2 linked regions of the Arabidopsis thaliana genome follow. The protein of the gene in region 1 interacts with the protein of each later gene in a pairwise test. Each region holds a gene or a part of one and is shown in the gene's direction. Other genes may lie near its edges. The genes, in order: ARA-2 and AT2G23070.

What was found.
Region 2: the proteins of ARA-2 (region 1) and AT2G23070 interact in a protein complementation assay, tested with the Arabidopsis thaliana proteins (one large-scale study listed by BioGRID).

Annotation. Positions count from the first base shown.
Region 1 is NC_003070.9:1,942,446-1,955,213, reverse strand, and holds ARA-2 (Ras-related small GTP-binding family protein), read left to right. Parts: upstream 1-2,333; 5' UTR 2,334-2,527; coding exon 2,528-2,748; intron 2,749-3,695; coding exon 3,696-4,125; 3' UTR 4,126-4,618; downstream 4,619-12,768. Other genes in the region: GSK1 (GSK3/SHAGGY-like protein kinase 1), read right to left, coding at 4,797-4,883, 4,964-5,065, 5,193-5,276, 5,394-5,489, 5,597-5,647, 5,759-5,899, 6,073-6,129, 6,204-6,278 and 4 more; AT1G06380 (Ribosomal protein L1p/L10e family), read right to left, coding at 9,326-10,090. UniProt on the Arabidopsis thaliana protein: Involved in auxin-mediated response. May be involved in vesicle trafficking of components involved in polar auxin transport. Binds GTP and GDP and possesses intrinsic GTPase activity.
Region 2 is NC_003071.7:9,815,990-9,833,697, reverse strand, and holds AT2G23070 (Protein kinase superfamily protein), read left to right. Parts: upstream 1-6,799; 5' UTR 6,800-6,826; coding exon 6,827-7,206; intron 7,207-7,540; coding exon 7,541-7,670; intron 7,671-7,789; coding exon 7,790-7,984; intron 7,985-8,191; coding exon 8,192-8,349; intron 8,350-8,552; coding exon 8,553-8,643; intron 8,644-8,781; coding exon 8,782-8,847; intron 8,848-8,953; coding exon 8,954-9,036; intron 9,037-9,133; coding exon 9,134-9,197; intron 9,198-9,313; coding exon 9,314-9,382; intron 9,383-9,473; coding exon 9,474-9,536; 3' UTR 9,537-10,056; downstream 10,057-17,708. Other genes in the region: AT2G23093 (Major facilitator superfamily protein), read right to left, coding at 1-42, 241-329, 407-665, 758-926, 1,005-1,149, 1,307-1,505; AT2G23090 (Uncharacterized protein family SERF), read left to right, coding at 3,424-3,499, 3,607-3,647, 3,922-4,041; CKA3 (Protein kinase superfamily protein), read right to left, coding at 4,355-4,414, 4,552-4,620, 4,692-4,755, 4,874-4,956, 5,046-5,111, 5,244-5,334, 5,488-5,645, 5,734-5,928 and 2 more; AT2G23067 (Putative membrane lipoprotein), read right to left, coding at 11,550-11,693. UniProt on the Arabidopsis thaliana protein: Casein kinases are operationally defined by their preferential utilization of acidic proteins such as caseins as substrates. The alpha chain contains the catalytic site. Involved in the regulation of various developmental processes.

The DNA of each region.
Region 1 (12,768 bases):
CAATACCCAGATATCCAAAAATCAATGATATTTACTAATCATCCTCTATCACTGAGTAAAGAACAAAAATAAAAAACTGAGCTTTACGACAAAATCGAATGAATGATACATTCTTATCCTCTACAAGCAAGATCCATGAAATTACAACCCAAAAGCTAATCAAAAACGGAAGAAAGATTCACCTTTCAGATAAACGAAAATCTAAATCGGAGCGACCCGATCCCTCAATTCAGTAAAACACAGGAACCCGAAAACGAAAGAAACGAAATTTGAGCCGGAAAAAATCTGATTGGATTAGTGACGAATCGAGACTCACCTTTTTGTTCCTTGACAAATGAAGAATCTGATCTTCTCTATCTAACCCAAAAAAAAAAATGAAACGTGAAATTTAATCTAGGGTTTATATGAAAAAACTCGGAAAATAAAAATTAAAAAATCTCTGTTTCCAGCCTCATATGTGTATTTTGGAATAATATCATATATGCCCCTCTACTCTATAGACGAAACTACTATGACCACTATATATTTATACTCCAAAAGTCAAAAGTTTCTTACCATAAAGAGATAATACCCTTTTCCTTTTTATTTTAAAACAATTATAGGTTGGCCTTTACATACTTTTTCACAAATGATAGTAGTAAGAACACATTTGAAATTTTCACATATTTTTTATGAATAATATTTGTCGTCTAATACATCATTATTATAAAATATTTTAATATTTAATTTATAACAAATAATTTGGTATATTAGTAGGGAAAAACAACCATGAAGAATTTAAAATTGTTAGTTCAAAAGTATATATATTGGGTGTTCATGTGACATTATAAAAATATAGGGGAAAAATTAAAAACTAATGAAATAAAGGAGGGAAAGTGAAAATAAACGTAAAGTTATACGTATAAGAGTCGTAGTACATCGTGTGTGTATGGAAGCTCTCTTGGATATGAAATATTATTTTATGTTTTTGATATTTTTGTGTATTTTTAATAATAAAAGGTTTGGTTTTAGCTATGATTATTTACTGGTCAAATCGAAGGGGCTTAAGACTCTCCTCTGGTTACATTTAAAAGGAATCGAACGACCGTCACCGAGTCGTTGCTTTGCTTCGCTGTCCACAAGTACATGTCATTAAACAACGTACTTGAGGACCAATTGGATTTGTCCGTGACGTAGAAAGAAGGTGACAGCCTCAGTGGTAATAGCACTTCCCTTCCGTTTAGAAAATTTGGATAAGGCTAGTTAGCCAGCCGGACTCGCACTATTGCCAGCTGGCACGAGTACACCAATGAGTCCGTTACGCGCGAGGAGAAGCGCGTGGAGGATCGGACACGTGATATGGAGAAAGAACGTGAGGACGCGTGATGCCGTGTGCGATGCGATGTGTGGACCACTTTTGGGGCTAAAATAGCTAAGTGACTTACCAAACGTGTCTAGGACCTCGTTTTGGACCGTTTGACACGTGTCGAAACAGGGGACGCTTTTGAGCGTGTGGTGAACCAGAGTGATCAAGTGTCATACGTTTTTGTTTTGGATGGTATTCGTTAGTGGAACAGGAATTAATTAAAAATGGAAGCATATGGGAATAGATTTATTTATGGTTAATGTTGGTCTATAAAAAAACAAAGACTACTCCGTATGAAACTAGTTGGTCAAATTAATTGTTGGTTGCACATTGTCTAATATTGTCTTTAATGATTGATTAGTTGTAGGCTTGCAGTTACAACCTCGATAAGATTTTTGTGTTGTCAGATTGTAGTTGTTGTGATTTTTAAAATTGTACCTATATGTGAATAAATATATTGAGAAAACAAAATATATATACATGAGTCTAATTAGGATGATGTTATTGAATTATTGGGCTTTCAAGATTTTCCTTAGTAGAGAGATGGACCAGAAATGTTTTAGCTATTCTTTGTGTATGTTGCATAAGTAACACGATTGTTCGGATGGAGCAACATTATAGTAAGGTGTTATGTGAACCGTAGAAAGTTTCTGAGTAATACATAATTTCAAAAATTTATAATCTAATAAAAAAGTAAACTTGATATTTTTAAAAATCAATACAAATATCTCTAATTTTATAAACTCTCCAGGTTGCTAGCTAAGGAGTAGTAGCTACATTCATTGAAACCCAAACTTAAGAAAATGAAAGTAAATAGTATCTTCATCCTGAAGATAAATTTTAGAAAAGTAGGTGTATACTGTTTATTGTTAATCTTGTTAAATTGTAATTAGAAAACTGTATTAAGTTAAAAATGATTATGTTGTGAGTGGAAGTTGTTAACAATATATGGAGAAGATTTCCTAAAATGTGCAACTAATTAAGCGGAATCATCTTTTTAAAAATTTAAACTTTTTCTGTTCAAAAACAAAAAGAAGAAGAAAAAAGGGTGATTTAGAGCCAACCCGACAAAAGCTTTCATCGTCATCATCTGAATCATTAATTCATTATCATCAAATAATACAGCAGCAAGCAACACAGTAAAACCCAATTCCCTAATCCCAAAATTCGATCTCTCATCTGATGGCTGGTTACAGAGCCGATGAAGAGTACGATTACCTCTTCAAGCTCGTGTTGATCGGCGACTCTGGTGTCGGCAAATCGAATCTGCTCTCTCGGTTCACCAAGAACGAGTTCAATCTCGAATCCAAGTCTACTATTGGTGTTGAGTTCGCTACCAAAACCACTAAAGTCGAAGGCAAAGTCGTCAAAGCTCAGATTTGGGATACTGCTGGTCAAGAGAGGTCAGATTACGTTTCCTCTCTTGCTTTTTTTTTCCTGCTTACTTTATTGAAAATCCTTAGGATAAGGTTTTAAAAAACCATCCTTTTTGGCTCGATTTCGTTGTTGAGTTCTTGTTGGATTCGCTGTTTATGAATTCATGGTGTTTGATTTATGTATCTGAATCTGTAGCCTGATTTGGATATTACAAGTTCAAAGTGTCTTGTTCATTTTTCCTTGTTGGTTTACTAGTTACGACTATTTGTGGCAGAACTAGAGTTTTCTGGTTTTCGGAACGAAACTGGTTGTGTCTGAATTTGTAAATCTCTTAGACTTGAGCAACTTTCAATATGGTTCAGAATCTCAATTGTGCTGAATATCGCTCGCAGGCTGCAGTTTACTCGGAATATACTTTTAGGTTTTATTCACATTTGGGCTACTAATGGTTTTCTTTTGTGGCATAGCTTCTGTGTTTGTAAGATTCTTGTTCATAGATCTGTATCCCTCATATATGGGTCTACTTGATTAGCTTATTCAATCCTCTCCTGTCTAGGTCAATTCCCGTTGTTAAAATGTTGTTTGTAGATATCTGTTATCTAAACCTCGGTTACTATACTAGTATTGTGCTGTTCCATCCGTTTCACACATTGATATTTGTCTGAGCTCGTCTGTGATGAACTTCTGAACCCAATATACTTGTTGAAAACAACATTTCTTTCATCTCCTCTGTCTTGTCTTGCACTAGACATAGATAACATTTTGAATTTTGCAGCAGAATTCTTCATTAACTCTGCGATTGTAACTTTACAAAGTAACCATTTGGTAGATGGATACCATGTAATATGGTTATCGAAAATAGTCTAACTTTGTGTACTTAATCTGTAATGTTACTGAACTTATTATTGTAGTTGTTATTATATCTTTGTTAACAACATCTGAGAAAATGCTGGTTTTGTTTATGCTATGATAGATACCGAGCAATCACAAGCGCTTATTACAGAGGAGCTGTTGGTGCTTTGCTTATTTACGACGTGACAAGGCACGCAACATTTGAGAATGCAGCAAGATGGCTAAGGGAACTAAGAGGACACACAGACCCAAACATAGTGGTGATGCTTATAGGGAACAAGTGCGATCTGCGTCACTTGGTGGCAGTCAAAACAGAAGAGGCTAAAGCCTTTGCTGAGAGAGAATCCCTCTATTTCATGGAGACTTCAGCTCTAGACGCAACCAATGTTGAAAACGCATTCACGGAAGTGCTCACTCAGATCCACAAGATAGTGAGCAAAAGAAGTGTTGATGGAGGAGGAGAGTCGGCTGATTTACCGGGAAAAGGAGAGACGATAAACGTTAAAGAAGACGGATCGGTTCTTAAGAGAATGGGTTGCTGCTCTAACTAGAGTGGGGGGATTGTAGATTTGGCTTGATTTGGTTAGGGTGAGACAACAAATGATAATCTCTTTGGGTCTTGCAATCAAAAAAGAAATAAGAAACGATTACTTTTAAGATCATGTGTATGCTTTGGTAACTTTGGCCTGTAAGGTCCTTTAAAATTTAAGTACATGATTGGTAATTTGTTTTCAACACTCCCACCACTTGTAATTTGTAAACTTGTAATAAACTGAAGAAATGCAAATCATCACCTACGTAACATTTCGAAAATAGATCTAGCGACTTTTAATTTAAGAGGATGATTATTTATCCCTCTAGTCTTTTGTGTTGAGAGAAGAAAACAAAAAAACATCTGTAGCTAATCTTTTGGACATGACATGGTTTAATATTATCACCTCGTTTTTCTTTTGTCTCTACGTATCTGTCAGAATTGTTTTACAGACAAAAACATATACAAAAATACACGAGGAACAGTGTCTCTCTCCACTCTCCAGGCTACGGAATAAAAAAAAAAAAAACGCAATTATCAGCATCTGATTTCTCAAAAAGCTGAATATGACTTTACTACGGGTATAGAAGCTGATAATAGTCGTGGTTAATATACTGTTGAACCTGTCAACTATCAAATAAAAGTAGTAAACCTGCTTTTCTCCTCTTTCTCTTCAGACATGCACAGTTTTTAACTGTTTTGTAATCCTGTGCTCATTTGTCGTCTCACATGCTCAGGTATTAGCCTGTTGATTAGCTCCATTGAAGCTCCACCTAACTGTTTCCACATCCAAAGAACAAATTGGGTTATGTTGAAGTTCCACTAAAGAAACATCATCCTTTGCTATTGATTTTTACCTCTTGTTTGAAATTGAACAATGGCGGTAATGGACGACCATTTGGAAGACGGGCGTTTGGCTCTCGGAGTTCATTGAAAAACGGATGAGCACATGCTTCGAGCTAAAAATAGACAGAGAACAAGACAAATGTTAAAATGAATCTTAGCTTTATCCAACACTTGGAAGATTCAAAAAGAGTTATCACTGACGACTACTTTCGATTATAAAAAAAAGAGGGAGATACTGACCGCAGTGCAGCGTAGACTTGGTGAATATTGAAGAAGCCGAGATGCAAGGTCTATTGCTTCTGGAGGCATCCGTTTATGAAAAACCTGGAGGTCAAGGGTACAGTATATGGTTGATGCTATAAATGAATCGCTTCAATGTATACTGTGTAGGTAATGAGTTCAGTAATTGCTTAACCAGGAACAAAAGGTGAGATGAACTACCTTGTGCCAAGGGTGAGCTTTGATTTGTGGGAACCTAAAATCTGTGTAGTTCGGGTTCATACATCGAATTTCTTCACGAGTTGGAGTACCAAGAACCTAAAACAAGGTAGCAAGTGTACTTATGGTAACATATTTACTAGATTCTAGTCTAATACCAAAGACAAAAAAGAGCACATCCATTAGTCTAATAAAGGAGACTTCACCTTTATGATCTCCACAAGCTGATCAACTGAATTTTCTCCTGGAAATAACGGCTGTAGAGAGAGAGAGAGACTGGCTTAATATAACATTGGGTGCGCACTTTTTGCATTTTGCAGAGACTCTTTATTTAACAAGGTAATTAACGCATAAAAATCCACACTAACCTGGCCCAGAAGAAGCTCTGCCAGTACACAACCAGCAGACCATATATCTATGGATGCTGTATACTCTGTGGCGCCAAAGATCAGTTCTGGAGCACGATAATAACGGGAGCAGATATATGATATGTTTGGTTCACCTTTGACCTAATAGTGAATTACCAAAAATTTAAAAGGGTTACCAAAACAGAGAACATGCTGCTCGCACTTAATGGTATAACTCACACTTATATGGTAGCTCAGTGAACTAGATGCGTAGATACATAACCAAGCCGAAAACACACAAAAAAGGTGAGATAATGAAAAGATAACACCCTTACCAATACTTTTGCACTTCCAAAATCACACAGCTTAACCTGATGGGTCAAGGGATCAACCTACAGTATGCACCAGAAAGTGAGATCCAGAAATAGTCAAGATTACAAACCACATGGCATGCTAGATAACGTACCAAGAGATTTTGTGGTTTCACATCTCTGTGGCAAACACCGGGAACAGTATGGATGTAAGCCAAACCTCTAAAGATCTGCACAATAGATATTTCAAATCAGTTTCAGAGTAAATTCTAATAAATTATAATATTTGTGAGAACTAACTGCAAATAACAGTACATACTTGATATGTGTAAAGCTTGACATAGAAAATTGGCATCCTCTGATTAGAACTAGTATAGTGCCTCAAAACCCGGTATAAAGTCTCAGGTACATACTCCATAACAAGGTTGAGGAAGAGCTCATCTCTACTCGTTGTAGAGAAGAAACAGTGCTTCAAGGAGATGACATTTGGGTGATCCATTGGTCGCATTAGTTGCAACTCACGGTTTTTATAGCGTCGATCTTGCAAGACCTTTTTAATGGCTACTGATTCTCCAGTTTCCAAGCATTTCGCCTAAAATCGTAAATTTCAGACTTGATCAGAAAGAAAGAAGAGAATTTATGTCCTGGAACCGCTAGTACAGAGAAGCACAAAATACCTGAAAAACAATCCCGAATGAACCTGTTCCAACAACCCGCTCAGCCATGTAACTAATGGTCTGTAGGGGACAGAATGAAGATCATGTAAGGGAGAGATGAATTAATTTGACTTGAAAAAGGGTTTTAATGGGAAAGTAACACTTGCTGGAGCATTTGATGCGAAATGAATAACCCAGACCCCGCAGAAACCTTACACATGGTACTGTGCTATAACCGTAAGTGTTAACTACTAGTTAGTTATCTAAGAGATTTTGCAAACATTAGCATCAAACCTGCTTTGGTTCGCCGTTTTTGCCTCCAATAGTAGTGGAAATGATATGACCAGTAACAGCGTCATTTCCCTCAATAACAGCTGCAGACATTTCCTGCAATCCACCTCACATATTAGTATAGACATTAAACTATTTTGATCAACTACAAGGTGGAATAGAGATGGCAAGCATTTACTGCATCCGATTATTTCAACAAACCTCAGGATAGGTATGACTGTATGAGAATGCTGTTATTGCTATTATACAAGTGGTCGGAATTAACTTATATTGAAAACGTGAAGCTAACACATATAAAATGTACCAACTAACCAGTTGTCAAGCCAATAGAAGCACTCAAGCAAGATGCAGAAAGAATAAGAAAAATAAAGTAAAGCATGGGTTAACCAGAGGTAAACAATGGTGATAGAAGTTCAAAAATGTAGTGATTTTAGACGTCAAACAATTTATGGGTATTAGATATAGAACAAAAAAAAAAATCATAGATACAAAATACAAGTCAATGGAAGAAGTTCTGCCAGAGTGAAGGACAAGCCATAAGACAAAATTCAGAATAAATGTCGATGGCAAATAGAAAAGAGAGAGAGACAGAGACAGAGAAGCAATGGGCCAAGAAAACCATAACTAAAGGAATACTCCGAAACCTACCGAGAGTGAATTCAGAGATCTACAAGTAAACTGTACTTTGTAGAATGAACAGTGTTGAAATAAATAATATCCAAACAAGCAAATTGTTGTACTTGAAAGTGAACAGTGTTGAAACAAACAATCGAAATATCCAAAAACAAATATGAAGGGGAAATATTCAACCTAGTTTACTGAAAATGTAAGTTTCCCAAGCGCAAGAAACTATCTCAAATTATTTTACACTAAATTTTTCAACAAGATTCGAAGATTACTGCTACTTAGATCTCCGGTAGAGAAGGTTGAAGTAGTAGCTGGGAGATACCAAGAGTAATCTAGCTACTGCATGCATACAAATGAAGTAAAAATCACAGTCTCCTATCAAAACGCCTCGTCGGAGAAAGAAACAAAAAAACTCTCCGGTGAGCTCAGATCAATACAAGCGACGAACAAACACAAGAGCACGAGAATATAGATCGATTCGACTGAACTAAGACATAGAACAAAGAAAGTAGGAGCTAGATCGGAGTAGATCTAGAACAGCCACCAAACGATAATTTCAAATGCACTGTTTACCAAACACAGACGGTAACAGTAACACACAAAACAAAGAGACGGGGAGAAATAAACCTTATCAGAATCCAATTCAGGACGGCGTTTCAAAGCGTCGCCGTCGTGAAGCTGCAGCGGCGGAGCAAGAGCATGAGGCTGAGGCCCCAATGGTAATGAGGCCATGTGCTTTTTTACTCTTTTCTCTCTCAACCACTGAACAATGAGTAAAGTCTAATTTTTCCTCTCTCTTTGCTTCTAAATTTCAGAAATGGTTCAAAGACAATGGAGGACCCACGGAAGACTAGAGCGCGTGAATGTAACGGTCCAATGAGAAAACTACTTTTTAATTGATAAAGCACTGAAAAATTCTGATAAACACTTCCTTAGCATTTAATGATAACTAAATTACTAAGTTGAGTTAGAACTCCATTAAATATTCTAACTGAATAATAATGGTATCAAATGAATGAATACTCCAATCATATTTCCCAATTTAGATATTAAGCTTAACTTAAAGAGACTTTTCTTTGTCCCTTTAGCCTGAAGTGTTGCCTTTGTAAGACAATAGTTAACGATAGATTCTTTTTCATTACACTAACCAACAAAAGAATTACAGTTAGCATTCATACAAAGATAAAATTTAAGTTGCAAAGGGCTAAAAAAAATGACGATGAGACTAGTTTACGAAAATGTAAGATTAACAAGCAGTAGTGGGGAACGTAAACTATACAAAAATAAGACTCTGAGTCAAAGGGATTGGAAAGTGAAAAGATATATAACCGTTACTGTGATATCGAACAAGAACAATTGTCAAACAAAGAAAGATCAATGGAATCTACCTTTGTGGAGAGTAATTCAATAGAGTAGGAAAACTAATATTCTTTCCAATACATCACCAAAAACCATCTTTTTTAGAGAATTCATGTGACTATATATCTGCATAACAAAAGAAGATACCAGTAAAATCAATCAAAAGACCCACTCATGGAAATTTGTATTAAAACCATCTGTTTCACTCTAATCAATCTAGACAGTTTTGTTCAGTCTAGGCATTATCTTAAACATTACAGCATCACAAATTCCACTAAGAAAACAAACCAAAACTTGTGACTCACTGGAACCAGATCATCCATCAGCTTCTTTAAACAAATTCATCAAGCAACTGATTGATAAACAGGCAATGCCAAGCTCTCAAGTAACTTGAGATGAAACAATTTAACATTCTTCCATCTACCAGGAACTAAATCACCAATCCCATTCATGGCCGCTACAACATTCTCTGCAATCTCGTTCCTTCCCATTGACAACTTCGCTACTTTAACAACACTGCAAGTACCTGTACCAACGAAGAACAAAGCTGATTCACAAGCTTTTTCGATCTGCTCTTTCCAACTACCATGCCTTAAGTTAATCGCAATCGGAGTCTTATTCTTCTTAACAAACTCTTTCCCCAACAGCTTCGGCAACATCGGCATTAGCCTCCTCTCCGCGAAATACAACTCGAATCGCTTCTCCTCCTCTAATTTGCGTAAATCGGATTTCAATTTGGAGACTTTAATAACTGTGGTGATTGGAATCTTCTCTGCTTCGATCTTCTTCAAAGCCGCTTCCTTTGTGATTTTGTTCTTGTGTTTGTCGTCGATGATCAAACAGAGCTCCGGCGGATCTTCGGCGACCAGATCGATGAGAGGATGAGGAAGAGGGATCATCAAGGGGTTAGTACGATCCAACTGAGGGATTCTCTTCAGTGTCACGATTAGATAGACGAAACCGTCGTTCTCGAGTGATTCAGAGTTCTCGGTCTTGGATTTGGAGTCCCACCATTTTAGCAGAGACTTCACGGCTCTGTTAACGTTCTGCGGGTCAACCTTCGACTGGTGTCGCTGCGGAAGTGCAGCCGTAGTAGTAGTAGTACTCATTCTCCGGTGAGAAGACGGCGCAATGAACACAGGTTACGTTTGCGGAATTAGGGTTCTGAGCAAAAATTATAGGGTTTACGATTTTTTTCTTTTTTTTTTCTTCTTTCGACATTTTATTCGATTTTTTTTTTTGTAAAACTCAAAAATTATATGCGTTTTATTAATGATGCGCCACTTTATCCTTTTTTCTGGGGGTAAAATTGTCATCTGCTCAATCGTTTTCTCTGACCGCCGGCGAAACTCTTCGCGCTTCCCCGACTGCCGGCGAAAATCGACGCTGCTTCCCGTTTCCGGTTAATTAAGAGCTTTCCTCTGTACCTCTTCAACTCATTGTAGGCTGCGTCTTCTTCAATGGCAACAAGGAAGCGGAAGAACGCTGATTCGTGTAGTGACGCTCTTCTAAATCAGAGCGAATTCGATCTCCGAGGCAGATATTCTTATTCAATTATCTCAATCCCTTGGCACCGTATTCTGGTAATGTTTCCAAAATAAAGATAAATTGCAATCGCTTTAATTTTCTGATTTTGTGGTGAGTGATTGAACCTGTGTCAATTCTATGCTGCTGAGTGTTTCTCAGGTTGATCATAATGGATAGGTGCGCCGTGCGGTCATTTGACATTGCGTCCCATTGTATAAAGTTCTTCATGTGACGGGCCTTGATACTACTTCCTACGTAATGGTCAGTATACTTCTTCATTATTTTACAAGAAATCTTGAATTGTGGTATTAACAATGTGTTGTTACTTTTGCAGATGATGTAAAAGCTTTTTTGGTCTACTAAGAAGATAAAATTAGAACCTGTTAATATTGATTTTGAATATAGGCTTCTCCAAAATCTGATGTTACTGCAATTCCAATAAGATTTGCCTAGGTTAATGACGAACAAAGTGAAGCCAGCTCACCATTACACTATGTTGATAGTTCCTAGTTCCTACTATGTTGAGAGGTTGATGTAACCGGAAGTGAGTTAGAGATCCCAGATCCCTCTGTTTCCTCTTTATTCGTTTTTGCATTTTAACTCTGCAGCTGTATTCTTTAATGTTAGTTTTAATGTTTTGTATTGAACATTTCATTGCGCTTACTAGCTTCTGCTGTGTTAGGTCTTTGGTCCTCGGTTTCACCTGTCTGTTGGACCGTATGATATGCTGCTCATGGGTCATTGTGCCTCTCAATTTTCTGAAGCTTCCTCTCATCCGGTGGAGACTATTACGGAACTCGCTCATGGCACTGGTACTATTTCCTGTCATGCTTTTCACTTTCACACTTTTTTTCATTGCGGGAATTATCAAGTCTACAAATCAAAAGCTTTTATCTCTTATCCAATGGATCTTAGCAGATATATACAGCATACTCTGCCATAAGTAATTCAGGTAATATGGATGTACTTGAATAAATGTAAACTACACATGGGAACATCTTTTCATTGTGAATTATGTTTTCCATGTCGTTTACTCTGATTATGAATGACAGGTTTGTGCTGCCTGTGTTACCCATAGCTTTGATATTCTCTGGGTATACATTTGCTCAAATGGAAGCATCTGATTTATCATCAATCATTAAAGAGAAGCAAGTCCCTGGAAATAACCATATCATCAAGTGGTCTCCTAAACTAAGACTTCCAGTCTTCATTTTGCCTGCTACCAATATCCCGAGGCACTACACATGAGTTTATTCTATCAAGTTAAAAAACTAAACACTCTAGTTTATGAGTTACTCTCTTTTTCTTTCTTTCTAATTGTGCTAAAAGGAATTCTTGTTTTCTCAATGGACACGAACCAAGGATGCGATGTACAGACTTATCGGAAAAAAGGATACAAAGGGAGAGTAAAGAGCATTCTCTCTCTCATGCCAAGCCATTCGACTCCTTATTATTATTATTCCACTCTCCATAGTAACATTCCAATGCGATTTCTCGACTACACACCAAGGTAAATGGATCACGCCCCTGAGTCACAGTTTTTGCTTCTATGCGATTCTTAAGGATTCTTCTTCTTATTATTTTGAAACAGCGAAGACATTAGGAGATTTTGATGAGTCAGACCAATTCTTAATGGACCTTTTAGGATTGGCATCAAAGTTAGCTAGAAATTGGCCAGCACGACCGCGTCACATATTATTGTTTGCATCGGAAGCAACAAAACTCAGAGGTTTTATGATCCACTATTCCTTCCAAGAGGCAAGTTGAAAAGCAGGACCACCATTTTTTTCCAACGCTGATGTTATTCGTTTAGTAGACTAAAATCTGTTTTGTTGGCAATGAAACAGGTCAAAAGTTTTTTCCACACACATTTCAAGGTTTATAGATACATCAAATCAATCCCCACTAGTCATCTATGCTAAAAAATACTGACTCGGTCTAACTTCGCGTGTAGCTTTTTTTTTTTTTTTCCTGTTACCAAAAAACACCTTGATGTTATGGTGTTTCTGTCTGAACCACATGAATGCACTAGTTGATCAGGTCGGTACACAAGTTAAAAAAACGAACTCAACGAAAATGTCAAAAATTCTCAATTATTCTATTTGAGTTTTATTTTGAATCTGTTTTACTCTCTTAGATCATATGTTCGAGTTAAGAGCTTTTAATTTATAGCCCCGCGAAGTTTCATGATCAAATCTCAACAACTTTCAACATCAGAACCCAAGAAAAAATAAATCATGTTTTGGATCAAGGAACGTTT
Region 2 (17,708 bases), on another chromosome or scaffold:
ACATGGATATATCAATCCCAGATTCACTTCACGCCCATCAGCCTAAACAAACATAACTCATTTTAATCATTCCATTGTCGAGAAATAAATACCAATAATTTTATCATCTAAAGGCCAATTAGGGAATCACTGGAGGTCCTAAACATCAAATGACAGTAACCATCATTGCTAATTTGATTTCTGAAATATAAAATTTGGTTCAAGCAACTGCAAATATTATATTAGGAAGCTTAATCATACCACTATTGTTGGTGCCCACAGAATCCAAAAGACTGCAGTGGAAAACTGAAGACAGGCTTGTGAAGTTCCCAGAAACCATATTCTTTTGTCTGATCACATTAACAAGCTAAGATTAGCGTATACTCTTTCAGGAATTTTAACTGAATAGATGAAGACAAAATCTTACCACCAAGAACATACGCATAGAAAGCTGTGGAATAATCCCTAAACGGAAGGGTCTTCAACGGCTCTTTTGCAGTCTGGACAATACAAATAATAGTCACAACAGACAAGAGCAGAGACGCCGTAGCAGATAATGCAATCCCATCCTGAACATTTTCACCCACAAGCCAATTTGCAAGAACTTGACCTCCAATTAAAGATGCAGACTCAAGAAAAGTCATCAACCAGAATGTCTCATTTAACGAGTCATTCCTCTGACTTTGCTACAAAGATACAAGACACAGAACATCATTACAAAATCAGAACATTGATTATCTAATAATAAAAACTCAAATGCAATGACCAATCCATATACCTTTTCATGTTCCACAACAAGCCAAGTCTCAAACCCAAATGAATATACAAGACCAGCAAGGGAGAGAAAAACATTTGCAAACCAAGCACTAGGACTCATTGTAATCCTCTTCCACACACCAACAATAAGGTGCAAGACACAATAGAGTAGACAAATTTTCTTCTGACCTCTACAAAAGTTTCGGTATTTATCATTACTAGCACAAAATGAAAACACTTTGATCAACATTTTACTAAAAGCTACTTACATGAGATCAGAAACCACACCAAGTACAGGACCAAGAACAAGAGCGGTCGAATAACCAACACAGAGATAAAACACCATTGATTCTTTACTTAAGCCATAAGTTGTTAACTCCAATTCTCCATACACTGACAATAAACCTTCCATCACTGCCACATTCCAATCAAAGAATTCAAATTGTAGCAAAGGATCCATTTTGATAGACGAGAAAAGGCAAAAGTTGAAAGCTTTCGAAACCAGAAATTGAAAGCACCATAGATACAGATAAAAATCTGTAGACCCAACTGAAGAAATCTAATGATGTACCTGAAGAGAGAGTGTAGATAGCTAGAAACCATCTCTGGAACCGAGCGAAAGAAGAGGAAATAGAATGATCAAAGCTACCAAAAGTTCTGTTTTTGGCCAAGTAAGGAAACAGAGATATCGATAAAAATGTGGAAACGAAGAAGAAGATGAAGAAGCTTGAGCTTGGTTCCCAAATAAAGGTCTCAATAACGACACCCATCGATCCAAAATTCACCGGTAAATCAGCCGGAGAAAGAAGTAAAAGAACAAACAAAAAAACTCAATTACGTCGGAGAGAATTTGAGATCTTGACTGATGTAAGTGGTGCACAAAAAGAAATGAAGCCCAATATTATTATCAGGCCAAAAGGCCCAATAACTATCCCACCCAAAAAATAGTCTTAAGTTGAAGTAAGCTACACAAAATTTTGTTACAATTTGTTTTTGTATAATATTTCTTGACCATTGACATCGCCTTTCACATTTTTTTGAACATGTTTTTTAGTCTTTTTTTTTTCTTTCTTATATGTGTGTGCAACAAAAAAATTCAAGTTCATAGCAAAGATTTAACGTTGGTTGTTTCTAGATGTTTGAATTCACCACAACGCAACTAATCGCCAAAGATGTATATCAAATATGAAAAATTGATTTTTTAGATATTTGAATCTCTCTTAGATCTTTTTAAGAAAATATTTATCGCTCTTTTAATTACTCTTCGATCCTAAAACATTATCTTGGCCACAACGATTTTGTGAGACCAATGGAAATACTAGAAGATTATGGAGTTCAATTTTCAAGATAATTCGAATTTGGTGCGAAATCCAAATTATCATGATGTTGATGAAAATTATGATTTTGTAGGTTTTTCTTTCAAATACTTAGGAAATTTCAGTAAAATAGATAAGATTTTATGAGAACTAATGGATAATGAGGATTCATGATGTTGCATATTTTTCAAGGTTTAACATGAAATATGCAAGATTCTCAAATCCAGATTTCAAGAAGCCATAATTTTGAGATAAAATTTATAGCATATGCATCAAAACACAATAATAATTTAAAACAGAAATTACAAAATAATCATTTCCAAATTTTGATTTTTTGCCCAATTTGAATTTATGTTAAAATTTCTGAATCATGTTTTGGCCGAAAAGAATATGATGAAATCATATGTTAGATGTCAAAATTACGGAATCATCTAGAAAAAATCAAAATGAATTCTTCTAGAAGTTAACAATAGAAACCACTCATTCGCCGGGTGAAATCAATTGACTGACGAGTTGTCTACTAAACGAGCGTTAGTGTGAGTTAAACCTCTAAAGTTTGATAGCTCGAACTACTATCGAGATTCTTCGGACAATCTTTCTTAGTATCATCTCGATGTTCATTGCTATACCATCATTTGCTCTCTTATACTCAATAGACAAGGTAGTAGTTAGCTCGTGCAATCAATAAAAAGCGGTCATATTTTGTGTGAGTGAGTGACTCATTTTTTTTGAAGAAGATAAATCGTGTAGGTTATAGCTTATAGAGACCTAATAAAATTGACATTTACTAGAGTCTGTCCTAAAACAACAAAAAAATAATTTTCCTTTATTTTTAATTTTTTAATTGTAAATTCTGTTTTGTTTTAGTTTTTTTAGAAGTTAACAATATAAACCACTCACTCCCTGAATAATATTAATCCTATCATTTTGCATGAATGAGTGAGTGTCTCAATTCCTTTGAATAAGATAAACTGTACAGGTTATCAATTAGCAAAAAAGAATCTTTTTCTTGGTTTAGATTGAAAACATATTTGTGTGTTGGTCAACTGATTTATTCAGACCAAAAAAAAAAAAAAAACCTCAGTCGTTTAAACGTTAAAGGTTCTTGTTTTAACGGGCCTTAAATGGATAATAAGTCCGAAGGCCCATTATGTTGAATTATCTAGAATCCAAAATAACTTTAGGTGATTGGTGAGTAGGCGAATTAAATGTAAGTGGACATTACAGAAAAAGAATCAAGTGGCATCGTTTTTTTCTTTCTCATATAAATCTTTTCACATTAGAGTCGGCATAAAAATTCCATTTCGTATTTTTCTCTTCTTCCTCTTCTGAAAAATTAGGGTTTGAGTTCTTCTTCTAATCGATCAGAAAGATGGGTGGAGGAAACGCACAGAAATCAGCCATGGCTCGTGCCAAAAACTTGGAGAAGGCTAAGGCTGCAGGAAAAGGTAACAACCAGATTCAATTTTAGGGGTTTTTAGTCAATTTCAAAGATGGAGATTTTAGCCGTAAAATCGTGTTTCTTAATGATTTTTGTATTTGATCTCTCTTATAGGTAGCCAATTGGAAGCTAACAAGAAAGCTATGTCGATTCAGGTGATCACTTATTACTTTATATCATCGTCTTCGAAATCATCGAAATATTACAATTATTGGTTACTAGAATCAGCTTTTCTTAATAAGAATCCAATTATTATTAGTCCTTTGGAATTGTTTATGTAGTCATGAAACGTAAGTTTAATTGTCTCATGTTGATGCACAATTTCTTGTTGATCCTGAAGCTTTGTGTTAATGAACTTGTTATTTCTTGTTGATCCTGAAGCTTTGTGTTATATTAACTTGTTATTTGTTGATGTGTGTGTTTATATAGTGCAAGGTTTGTATGCAAACATTCATCTGCACGACATCGGAAGTGAAATGCAGGGAGCACGCGGAGGCGAAGCATCCGAAAGCCGATGTTGTCGCTTGTTTCCCTCACCTCAAGAAGTGATGAAAGCTATTATCTCAACTATAAAGGATTCCAATGTATAACGTATGGATCCTCATCTTTCCTATGTTTGTATCAAAGTCTCGACAAATTTTATGGTTTCTATTTCTCTCTACTTGTTTCAACAATAAGTCTCTTGCTATGATTATATAATGAAGCTTTGTGTGGAACCTTTTTTTTTAATATAAGTTGGCTTCTTTTCGCTGTTGATTATGTTTCTATGAAAGTAAAGATTACCACAATTTTGATACAACAAAATCATTACAAAGTTTTTGGTTGAAAAATAGTAGTAAGCATCATCAATCAAGCTTCGGTTTTACTGAGTTCGTAGTCTGCTGCTCTCTGCGGCTTTAACTTGAGCGAAGTATGGATGATCCTATAGATCAATAGAGAAACCAGAGATTATAAGTTTGACTTGATCATCGGGTAAAACAAAATCAAAAGATGTGTGCACATGAAGATCATCGGGTAAAACAAAATCAAAAGATGTGTGCACATGAAGAGGATTTTTACCATGGCTTCTCTTGCGGTTAATCTGTCTTGATGATCATACTGAAGAAGCTTATCGAGAAAATCAATTGCCTAAAGATGTATACAATGAGTCAATACACCCAGAACGAAGCAAAACTATGTTTTTCGAAAAAGAGTAGTACCTCAGGTGAGACCAAATGTTGGTTGTCCGCGTTGATAAACTTGGACCATGGTTTGGGGACATGTCTACAAATAAGAGTGACTTCAGGTTTTAACTCATTGGTATAAAATTAACTGAGCCAGAGTTGAGAACAGCAACAATTTTGACTTTTAAAGACAGAGAGATTCAGGGATGGAATAAAACCTTCCAACAAGTGCTTCCAGTTGAGGGTCAAGATCTAGCTGATATTTGTTTAGGTAATGATCTAACTCATTGGTTCCCAACACCTATGCACACGTTTCAATCAGAAATCATATACATGGATTTAAGTTTACAATGTAATTTTATGCCAATAAGTCATAGACTAGCAATATACCTTGGCAATTTTGACAAGTTGATCATGATTATCATGGCCATAAAAGAACGGTTCCTTACGGAATATCTGCAGCATCAATATTTGACAAGTGAATAAGCAACAGCAAAGTATTAACGACTACCATTCGGAAATTCAAATGCTTGCAATAGCTTCAGCATTGAAGCTAGAGAGAAGAGTGAGGGGATTATTAGTTCTCACCATGCCAGCAAACATGCAACCAAGACTCCACATGTCTAAAGAATAGTCATAATCCTGTAGATCAACTAAAAGCTCGGGACCCTTGAAGTATCTGGCAATTAATTCACAGGTTTTTAGTCTAATGCATTTAACAACTACAAGAAGCTTTGATTGCACAGCTAAAAGTTTCAATCATTGGCATCTACGAATGACCCTCTTAGGCTTGCCAAGACAGGTGGAATTAAGCTGTGGTATCGGATATTACCTCGAGGCCACGCGAACATTATACTCTTTTCCGGGATGGTAAAACTCAGCAAGGCCCCAATCTATCAGACGAAGTTTACGCAGCTGATGATCTATCATGACATTATGAGGCTTAACATCCCTATGCATTATTCCTTGAGAGTGACAGAAATCCAATGCCTGAAATGCAATAACATCAGCTCTGGATTCCACGATAAACATTTGTATGTACGGTAAAAGTCATTTATGGTAAATACCGATACATTACCTTCAGAAGCTCATAAATATAGTACCGGATATCGTAATCAGTCAATGTTGGATACAATACTTTAAAGTCCACACTGTTGACAAACTCAAATACCAAGCTAGGTGTTTTGGAGTGCTCATCTCTAACAATATCATACAGCTTAACAATATTTGGTCCACCACATAGGTTCTGAAGTATTTTGATCTCTCTCTTTATCTGCATAACATCAAGTTTCAGCAAAATTAGCCATCTTTATGTATGCAAATTCATCAGAAATGAGTTCTACTAACTGATCACCTTCTTCTTTTTTACGGGTTTGAGGATCTTGATAACGCAACGCTCATTCGTATTGACGTTTTTGCCTTCGAAAACTTCACTGTATTTTCCTCTACCAACTTTTCTCACAACCTCATAATCATCTTGATGACTGAAGAATCACACAAAAGTATTTAAGAATCTCACACTGTTGAATTTCAAAATCCAATATTTGCTAATAGATACTTAAAACAAAGTGTCTTCAAGAGACCTAAGTCCAAACCCTAAAAAATTCCAATTTCTCTGATTTCGAATTCGATTTGGCAACAAATCAATCAAATTCCACCGAAAATTTATCAAAAAGAAGTCAAAAATCGTAAATTCATCAAAGAAAAATTCTAAAGCTAGAAGTTTTACCCCCATTGAACAACGAGAGACTCGTAGTCCCAATACTCTTTAGGACGAACAACGTTAACATCTGTATAAACCCTAGCTTTCGACATCAATTTCGATCTGAAAAAATGGAGAAATTTGCGATCGCAATCTTCTCTTTGATCGTCAGGTTTGTTTCAAGTGGACGATGATGATGACAACAGAAGAAGTGCGTTGTGCAGGATTAGAAAAAGGTTGAAGAAGAATCTCTGATACCCAAAAACCACCTAAACCAAATCGAACCGATTCAACCACACTCGAACCGAAACAAACCCAATCGGATCGATTTCAATCACACTATAACCGGACCGAATTGTTTAAACGACATCGTTTCGAAGAGAAGCCAAAGAAAAAGAAAGGAGAGAAATAAAGCAAATTCGTTACCTTCACTTTTCATTTTCTGAATAAGAGTTAAAAAAAGACATTAATGGCCTTAAGGCCTTGTACTGGATTCACAATCTCCTCTCTTCGCAACGCTTCCGCCGCCAACAACAATCTCTTCTCTCTCCTCTCCTTCTCTTCGTCGTCTCCGGCGAAGAGGAATCTTCTTCTCTCTTCGCTCCAGGACAATCTCCGTCGTTTCGCATCCAGCGCTTCTCTTTACCGTCAACATCTCCGGAATCAACAACAACAACATCAGCAACAACAGCAATCGCGCGTGAAAGAAAAATCAGAAACGCTGGCTCAGAAGATCGGTAAATCTATCCGGCGTGCCGGTGCGCCGTCGAAAGCTAGGGTTTACGCTGATGTCAACGTTGTTAGACCTAAGGACTATTGGGATTACGAGTCCCTTGCTGTTCAATGGGGGTATATCTTCAGATTCTTCTCTAATTAAACCTAATTACGTCGATTTCTAGATGTTTGCCTTTGGTTATAGATTGGTTTGGGATTGGTTGTTCTGGAATCAATGTGGAATGTAGATTTAGGGTTTCGTTTCATATTTTTGATTGATGATATAATCTCGTAAGTAATGCAGAATTGGTATCTGATTTGTTTGTATTGGTATCTGTTTTGTTTGTATATAATCTCTTGAAAATTGCTGGTCTATGTGAACTAGATTGTTGAATTGATATCTTGAGTTTGTATGGTGTTGTTACTGTTTGGTGTATTAGTGTTTGAGTTAGCTTCATTGATGCCGCAGTGTACAGGATGATTATGAGGTGGTGAGGAAGGTAGGAAGGGGAAAATACAGTGAGGTCTTTGAAGGCATTCATGCTACTGATAACGAGAAATGTGTTATCAAGATTTTGAAGCCTGTGAAGAAGAAGAAGGTGAGTAGATACAGCCGCTTGCTTGTTTTTATCTCAATTGTGCTCAGAATGAAGTGTGTTTCTGGCCCTTCACTTGGTTTGAATTATTCTCTAACATATTTTGCTTCTCCTTGACGCAGATTAAGAGAGAGATTAAGATTCTGCAGAACCTCTGCGGTGGGCCTAATATTGTAAAATTGCTCGACATTGTTAGAGATCAGCAGTCTAAGACGCCCAGCTTGATATTTGAACATGTGAACAATAAAGATTTCAAAGTTCTCTATCCAACTCTCTCAGACTATGATGTTCGATATTACATTTTTGAACTTCTAAAGGTAATTATTCAGTTTCCTGAATTGTAGACCATGATTTTCTTTGCGGCTTTGGCAATTGGCAAAAGTAATCGGTAGATATATCATAGATGTATAGCGTCATACACTGTTGTTTACCTTACTTGACTTTTGAATCCACTAGCCTTCAGTTATAAAGGGTACGAATTTGTTTCTGATGCTGTTTGTTGTTTCTTTTTAACATTTATGCAGGCGTTGGATTTCTGCCATTCACGTGGAATCATGCACAGAGATGTGAAACCACATAATGTCATGATTGATCACGAGCAGCGAAAACTTCGTTTAATTGACTGGGGTTTGGCAGAATTCTATCATCCTGGGAAAGAATACAATGTCCGTGTTGCTTCAAGGTAGTTCCTTTTGGCTATCTGCTAATCTCTCCTCTGCAAGATTCTATTTGTTGCAGTTGCTAAATTTCTGCTCATAGAGAGTCTAGATAAGAAATGTTGAAGATTGCATGCATTGAGCTCTTGAGATTAGTTGAAACATATTATCTAACTTCGTCTAGCTGATGTATACTATTATCATTTCTCACTTCATATTTGATGAGCAGGTACTTTAAGGGTCCAGAGCTGCTGGTGGATTTACAGGACTATGATTATTCCTTAGACCTATGGAGTCTTGGGTGTATGTTTGCTGGAATGGTAAGCGTTTTAAGCTAGAATTTAGTTAACTTGGTTTAAGCTGTAATGGAATGACAAGAATTCGACAGTACATTTTGGTTATTTTACCATTCCTTAAGTTAGTTAAGTGGTGAATATTGTATACTCTACTGTTTGCAGATATTCCGCAAGGAGCCGTTCTTTTATGGCCATGACAACTATGATCAATTGGTCAAAATTGCGAAGGTAACATTACAAAAGCTTTCATCATGTCTCGTCTCCTCTGAACAGATTTTACATTCCTCCAAGTTATAGCTAAAAATACGATTCTATGTATTTATAACTATGGCAGGTGCTTGGCACAGATGAACTCAACGCCTACCTAAACAAATACCGTATAGAGTTGGACCCTAATCTAACATCCCTCGTGGGCAGGTAATCCGGTTTAAAAAGTTATGAAAAACTCTAAAAACTCCAGTTTTGCGCCTTATCATTTCAGAACATTAAATTATGCACTCTTGATTTTATATAGACATAGCCGGAAGCCATGGACAAAGTTCATCAATTCTGAAAACCAGCACTTAGCAGTTCCTGAGGTACAACACTTAACTTTTCTCTATACAATTATGAAGCCTTCATGTTAAGACCAAAACACCGGATTTTTTGGACGAACATGACTCATTTGTTTTCATATACTTTTTGGTTAATGAAGGCTGTTGATTTTGTGGACAAGTTGCTGAGATATGATCACCAAGAAAGGCCAACAGCTAAAGAAGCAATGGTAAGCAACAATTTTTCTTTAATATCTTTCTAAAGATTTTCTCTTATAATTACAGATAAGTGATAGTAGAGAATATGATGGATTTTTACAGGCGCATCCATATTTCTATCCGATTAGAAATGCAGAGAGCAGCCGTACGCCGCGCAGCCAGTGATCTCGAAAACATTTGCTTGTTCAATCTTCTGATTTTTCATTTCTTTACGGATTCAAATTTGTTATAAATCGATCTGTCATTGTTTCATTCTCTCAAGTGTGCGTGTGTTACTGTTTTGCTCTTTCTCAGTGTTTCATTCAACTCATTTGAATTTTATTATATAAAAAAAAATATCCACAAGACGGGTTTCAAAAGGTTTTTCTTTCTTTTCTTCTCATTTTTAATTTTCTGGAAAATTTCATATTCTTGAGCGGGACAGGTTGGTTTGGCTTGCCGGTTTTAGTTAGCCCGTTTTGACAGCTCCGTGGAAGGTAGAAGAAGCTCGCATCGGGAGTAGAGAGTGATGGTCGGTCAGTTAGATATATAACTGTAGACATAAGAAAGCACAAGAATCTCTAATCTAATCCAAATAGTGATTAGGGGACATTAAGCACGTAATCCGATCTTGAGTACTGTGTCTGTGGAACAACCTCGACCTATCTGTCTTATATCTTTTAAGTTTAGTTTAATCTCTCTGGTTCCCTTTGTCCAAATGATTATGCAATCATCCTATATTAGTTTACAATATAGCTGTCTGTCTCTTTCTTTCTTGTTGAAAATGATGCCTTAAAAAAATTACTCATCTCTTAAAATTTTGTGAATTACGCACACGCAAAGATATTGCTGTGTCTAAAACATATGAAACCAAATATGGAAATATATAACTAATAATTGTGCAAGATTTTCAGTATATATATGCATCCATGATCCATCAATCAGTTATTTTTTTCAAATTATTGGAGAAAATCATCCACCAAAAGAGAAATAAATATTTACTTTGGAAACGATTAAAAACGTTTGATAACCGGTGTGCAGTCTTGTGAATTAAGATTATCTTTTGAGTTTTGACACCTTAATCCAAAGTGAGATTTCACGCGTATGAGTAAATGAGATTATTGAATGATGTATTCTGTTGGAATGCTTTAGATAATCAGTTTCGTGTGATAAAGATTTTCTCATTCTGGCCAAAAAAAAATAAAAAAGATTTTTCTGTTTTTCATTCCTGTTTTTATATTGAAACGTTACATTTTTCATATTTAGATATGGGATCATCGGATCTTGAACGTGTCATTCTATCATTTGAATAATTTCTGTATAATGTCGTAGATTCATGGTGAACTAATAACACGTGATCAAAGGAAGCATGCAGGGCAAATGAGAACAATGATCGTCTAGCATGTATGTTTGTAACTTTACTTGAGTAAGAAATCTACAGTTTCAAAATTTTTCTAGATTTGAATTGAAATTATCCACTGATAATACATTATACATGTACGTAAAATCACAAATCATCTTTTTGAATCAATCAAACTCTATATAACCACCGTACTCGTGTACAATCGTGTGCAGTGTGCACACTTCACACTTCCCTACTATTTTTTAGTTTTTAGTTCTATCTTGAGTGGAAAGTATGTAAAGATACTTTTGTTCAAGTTGTGGAGTTTAAGACCTAACGAATCATATTACAATTTGGTAAGAGTAAATCAAAATCTTTTTATGAACATCGATGTGACTCAAACCCACGTACAATAATATGTGACTCATATTTAACCGACCGATATTTAGACCGATGTTACTTCTGATGAATCAACAGGTTCACATTACAATGTTTATATAATCTACCTTCCGGAAATTTTTTAGTATATATACATATGAACTTGTGTGGTTTTAGGAATGCATATCGGGACACAATATTTTTTTGTCGACGTCGGTTGATTAAAAAACTTAATTAGAGTACTTTGATGTGCTTATACGTAGGTCACTAGTCGTAGATATTACATAATGACATTGCTGCCATTCTTACCCTACATTATTAGTTGTTCCTAAACGTTTTATATATCTCTCATTGACACGTAAATTAATGTAATGTTAATATTAATGTGTCCATGTTCCGTAAATTTCATCATAAAACATGGTTACGACATGTTAAAACAAAGATTATCTAAATAAGTCATCAAGAAAGAGAGTTGATTCTTATGTCTGCCATGCATGGGATGCGTATGAATCATGATGATAATGAATGGCGTTGATTTGACAAGACGAGAGTGATGAAATGGCAGAAGCTATGATGACCTCATTCTCATTAGCAGTAGACAACGCTCCATGTCTCACTTCCATGTTTCTCTCTTTTTATCGTCCTTAGCCAAGACAGATGAGATATCAAATATCTACATATATGTGTATATATATTTTTTCATTACTATTAGAACCGCATCGCATTTCATCCGCAGTTGAATCGTACGTCATCATTCTAAGTCCATATATCTTAGTAGAGCGATTTCGTCTTTTTGAACATACAGAAACTGGTTTTTAATAATCCATTCACTTTTGCACCAAATAATAATAATCTATTCACTTACTTCGGTAAATCTTACATTCTAATCGCAAATCTGAATGATGAATTGGTTTTTAAAAGATGGTTGGAGACAGTAACAAATAACGATTCAATAATAATCTGAATTGATGGTACTTTAATATAACAGATTTTTCTTGCAAGGTTAAATATATATCTAGCTACAACCCTATCAAAAAGCTTTTGTAGCATCTATTTAATGCCCTTTTGTTTTGTCTCTCGTTCCTATCCACTAGTTTGCTTTGCGTCTCATATTTATCTCCCCACCACAAAACTCTCAGATACTAAAATTACGAGATAATATTTAGGTTGAAATATATGCTGAAAGCAATATCTCTGAGTAGATAGATATTTAAGTACTATAGTCTCAAGTCATTTCAAGCACAGAACTCTTTTGATAATGTACAAAACAAAAAGTACAATTATATTTTAAAATAACTAACATGGAGGTCACAAGGTGAAGGTGTTTAATTAAGGCAAATTTCAGTAAGTTTTTCTTCAAATTTTGAAGTTTTGATATTGTTTTATTTTATTAATATAGCTTACAAAAGATAATATAATTTATTATGAATAGTTTGTTACGAATTTTTGTTTTTGTTCATATTCTAGTTTCAATCAAATCTATCATTTTAAGAAAACTAGGTTTTTTATTGGTTTATTCTTTTGTTTTTCGTTTAGTTCTTGTTCAGATTTGATCGTTTAAATATATTTTTTAATTACGTAAACGAATATATGGTTCGGCTTTTAGATTGATTATTTTGACTCGGTTTGGATTAGATTATGTCAGTATAGTTTGATTGAACACTCTTAAAAAAAAAAAAAAAAAAAAAAAAAAAAAAAAACTCTTAAACTAGTGACATATCGTGAATATGTATAAGTTTGTATAATTAACTACATGTAATACTGTAGTAGACACTAGACAAGCAAGATTCATGAGTCAATCAGAGGCGTATATGGGGACAAGGTGCATAATCTCCGGGATCCGGACGAGCTAAGGCCTTAGCCTATGTGTCGGAATCTGCCCTCACCACAAATATTACATTTAACTAAATTAATTACCTGCTTTTCTTGTAAAAATAATTTTAAATTAACATACTTTAGCACACATAAACACATGCCAATTAAATGGTTTTGGTTGTAGTGCTAGACTTTATTACACATGAATATGGTCTCCTCTCTTTTTCTATCTAATCATAAACAATTTGTAAAAGATATTTTTAAATTACTTTTATATACCAGAAACTTTCATGTAACTGTGTATTTAGACATGTAAGAAAAATGATTAGTTTGTCATTATAACATTTATTGTGGTTAATTATGAGTAACTAGTGAGTATTTGTAAAAGAAATGATGCCTAGATTTTAGATATAAATCCACATGAAAAAACTTACCATTTAATTAAGTTTACCATAATACAAGTATTTGTTGATATAGTAGTCAAATGATTTTGAAAAACTAATCATTGTATGAAGTTAAATACCTTAGTCTAAAATTCGAAATAATTGTGAGAAATACGTGGTTTACATTAATATTGTTTTGATATCATCATTTCGAAAACGCGGTTGAAATGGCGTTTTCATATTTCATGCATAGTTTACCCAACCATAAAAACTTTCGGTTGCTCTCAAATTGACTTATACAAACATACTGTAATCATTGTCAACAAGCAGTCCCATTCAGAACTAAACTTCTCAATCTATTACTCTTCATTTGTGTTTCTAACTAGTTTAAAGACTTTTTCAAATTTATCAAACGTTGGAAAAAATGAAGAAGAAGATAATTACATCGATATTACGACGATATCTCATGCATATAATAAGTCACTCCGACCGTAACCTAAACCCACTTCATTGTTTGATTGGACATAACCTTAGCAACTAATTATCTCGTTACGTTTCTCCTACACGACAACACGATTTTGTCTCTTCCCCTCGCCGCTTTGTCCCCCTCCAACATTCACAGCTGGACCTCATTTTCACAACTAAGAGACGTATCACGGGCATATTAGTCATTTTTGTCTAGGTCTACTTTTAATTCAGTGAGTAATAACTAAAAAAAACTTTGGCTCGTGGCTTGACTGGTCTTGGCCTCCTCCTCGTTATGATATGCTGAATAAATTAAGGTATAACAAGATTAGGGTTTACAAGCTAAGTACATTCTTAAGTCAATCTATAGGTTAATAATCAATAAAGATCACATGGTTTATGGATCCTCGATGATTTCATAAAGATTCTTATGTCGTAATCGTAAGCAACAGTTAATTTCTTCAATTCAAATTCATACTGACCTGTTTGTTCTGAAATTTGTATGCATGAGTATCAAGAATGTCGTATAAATGTACTGTATTACTCTCGTGTCTATCATATAGTTGCATATTATAATCAAAGTGTTGGCATAATACCTTCTACTTTGTAGTCAGATTCTTTTATGGTCAATTTTTGAAGATCTAACTGTAAAGTATTTATCTATTGACAAAATAAAGATAATGAATTATATATTTATAAAATTATGCTAAGAAATCTTTTCTTTTTAACTTTAAATTATAAATTTATAGCTCTAAAACAAAATTTTTTTTTTTTCTTCATATATTTGTGGTTGGAGCCTTTATATCTTGGACAAGAATTTGGGTACATGTCAGCGTTGTTCTTGATTACTAATCTTTCATATACTCCCTCTGTTTTGTTTTTATAAAAATGATGTTTTAGATAATTCTCTTTTTCAAATTAAGTGATATTCTCATCTTTCTATACAAATTTTATTTATTTTTACTTTTGATAAAGGGTTTCTTTTACTATTTATAGTTTGTAGTTTGTTTATATTGGTTGAATTGTGTTTAAATAAATAATAAATGATATATATCAAGTATTTTGGAATAGCGGGAGCAATAATGAATTTTATATTGATATTAAGTATTTTAGTTGTGTGAAAATGAAATTGGAAATTACAAGATGGAAGCTTAAAAAATTTCAATGACTTCTCTACTATAGTTTGTGTTAGTATCTTTGTTTCAACCAATTTAAACGCATATTACATGTCAATGGAGGAAAAATAGTTATTGTTAAAACACTGAATAGCCATTTAGGTAGATTTTTCACATGTAATATTTATATAAAAAAAAGATTCTAAGAAAATTAGTATGTATTTATTTATATAATTCTGAACTTTGCTGTTTAAAAAACAAAAATACACTTTAGAAAACTTCAGAACTAATCCAATGTCACTCCCTCCACTAGTTAACGACATTAATTAGATAGGCCAAAAATCAATTCGTTAAATTCTAGTTATTTTTAACTTGCTCTGTTGCATATTAAGATTATTTTTGACTGTTCAGTAATTCGTAATTAGCCGATGTAAGAAAATGATTTTTACGTATAAAAAAAAAGGACGTGATAATGTACCGTACGGATCATCAAAATAATATTGGATTAGATCAAGATCGTTTCAATGCCGATCTCGAGGAATTTGTCGTGGAATTTGTATGTTTGAAATTCGTTACAATTAATCATAGGTACATATATTAAAATCATAACAAGAAATGATATGTATGTTTGAATTCTACAAACTGGACCGGAAAACACTAATCTGTCTGCTAATCACTCGACATTTTGCGTCATACGATGTGGTCCATGGCTTATGTTATGTTTTAAAAATTCAAACCTAATTTATATACACTAATCTCATGGATTTTATATTAGACAACCCAACCACGAATGCTGTATTCATACATGAACCTAAGAAAGTGTTTTCAACAAAAAAAAAAAAAAAAAAAAAAAACATATGAAAGTGTATTATGCCGTTAAACCGACTTAGTTCATTCTAAACGGAATTAAGAAATTTTATTTGAAAATTTGTACAGAATTTTTAGTTTATATGTATATATTTATCTAAAAGTATTTTTAACAGAAAATAAGTAAATAAATTCAAAACAAACCGGAAACCATACTTTTTAATCTTGTAATTTGAAATATATTATGACAAAAAGAAATTGAACCTACAAAAAATATATAGTTTTTATCTAACACGACATAATAAGTTCATGATAGACTATGTTTCGGGAAGACTATCTCTTTATCTCGTAGAAGAAGAAGGTCCTAAAGACTCTAGGTAAAATAGAGTGTTCGAGCTAAACTAAGTTCGGTGAAAGTTAACTCGAATCACTAAAACGGATTTGTATTTATTTTTTTTAAGACATCTTGATTGATAACACAATTTGCTGGAATAGAACTTTGATGTAAAAACCCGAAAATATGAACCGTTTAATACTTGACTAAAGTCACTTTCCTCAAACTTTTTAATTTCTGTTTCTGTTTTTTCTTTTTACTTTGAAATCGTGAAAGGATCAAGAATACGTATAAGTCTACAAATATAGTTCTTTTGCGAAACCTAATTCGAAGACTCAATCTCAACACTAGCAACTCTAAAGAAGTTATAAGTTTCTTGAACAAAAACTAAGAAAGGAACACTAAATTTCTAGCATACACGAATGTGACGGTGGAGAACATTATAAGGTAAGATGGGAAGATATATCTGAAACTACGCACCGTTATATTTGCCTTAGATTAGTGCCTTTCTTCGTCTCTCTTTTTAGTTTATTCTGAATCCTATGACGTAAGCGCTTTTGTCATGTACATCATTGACTATAGATGACACATCATATTCAAATTGAGATGGTTGTATTTTACAAAGGAAAAATCTACATTTTGATCTGAATTATTAGTTTAGTGTCAATTTTTATAAATAACTTAATACTACTCACCTCATCAAAGAATAATTCCAAATGGAAATAACTAAGAAAATATTTGGTACAACTATATAATAACAAAAGTTCACGACAATCCTGTGTTTATGAAAACCCCATTTTTCCATTTGAATGCCTCTCAAGTCTTGCTTGGTTCGACATTTTGCGTTTTTGAGTAATATAAATATATCTTTATGTTAGATAGAGATGGTCGATATTCAGATATTGTTTTAAATTTCTATACGAAATGGGAATAACGATCATATATTCACAGTAACTAATATGTGATGGATATTAGGATATACGTAAATTGGTAGTATCTTATTATTTTGAAAGGGTGGGAATCTACGATTAGACAATCCTGTGGGAGAAAAAAAATGCTTGATCCCATGAATAGACAGATTAAATATAATCGAATCCAAATTATTTATGTCTATAAGCATCTAGATGATATACACATCAATTGACTAATTAAGGCGACATACTTATTTTGAAATTTGACGGAATAATTAGGTTCTTTAGTAACACACTTGCTAATTTTATTGAACTTTTAGAAGAGTTTGATTAAAAAGTCTTAAGATTGTTATGGAAACAAATGGGGGCCATGCCAATTGCCAAACGCACTTTCATACGATATATTCATTTATTCGATTTTGTTTTGCTAATAATTCTCGATTACAATTCCATCATTCTGATCCGATTTCATTAGGTGAATATTACCAAGCGATTTTTAAAAAATGATTAATTGTGTGATTGGAGTAGCCTAACTTTATAAAAGGGGAATTTTTCAACTAGTTAATGAGTCGAACATATCAATTGTTTTATATTGCCAACTATAATGTTGTCGTGATACATATCCTTTATTCAAGTCATGAAGTTTTTCTTGTCCCTTTCTTTTTTATGTAACCTTTCCTGTCCGTTTCAAAACATGAAAATTCAAGGAGACGCAAATTCGAGTATATTATATATACATGGTCATGTTTTTCTTACTAACGTAAGAAAAAGTAAAAGATATTAATACACAAATAAATCAATGATACTA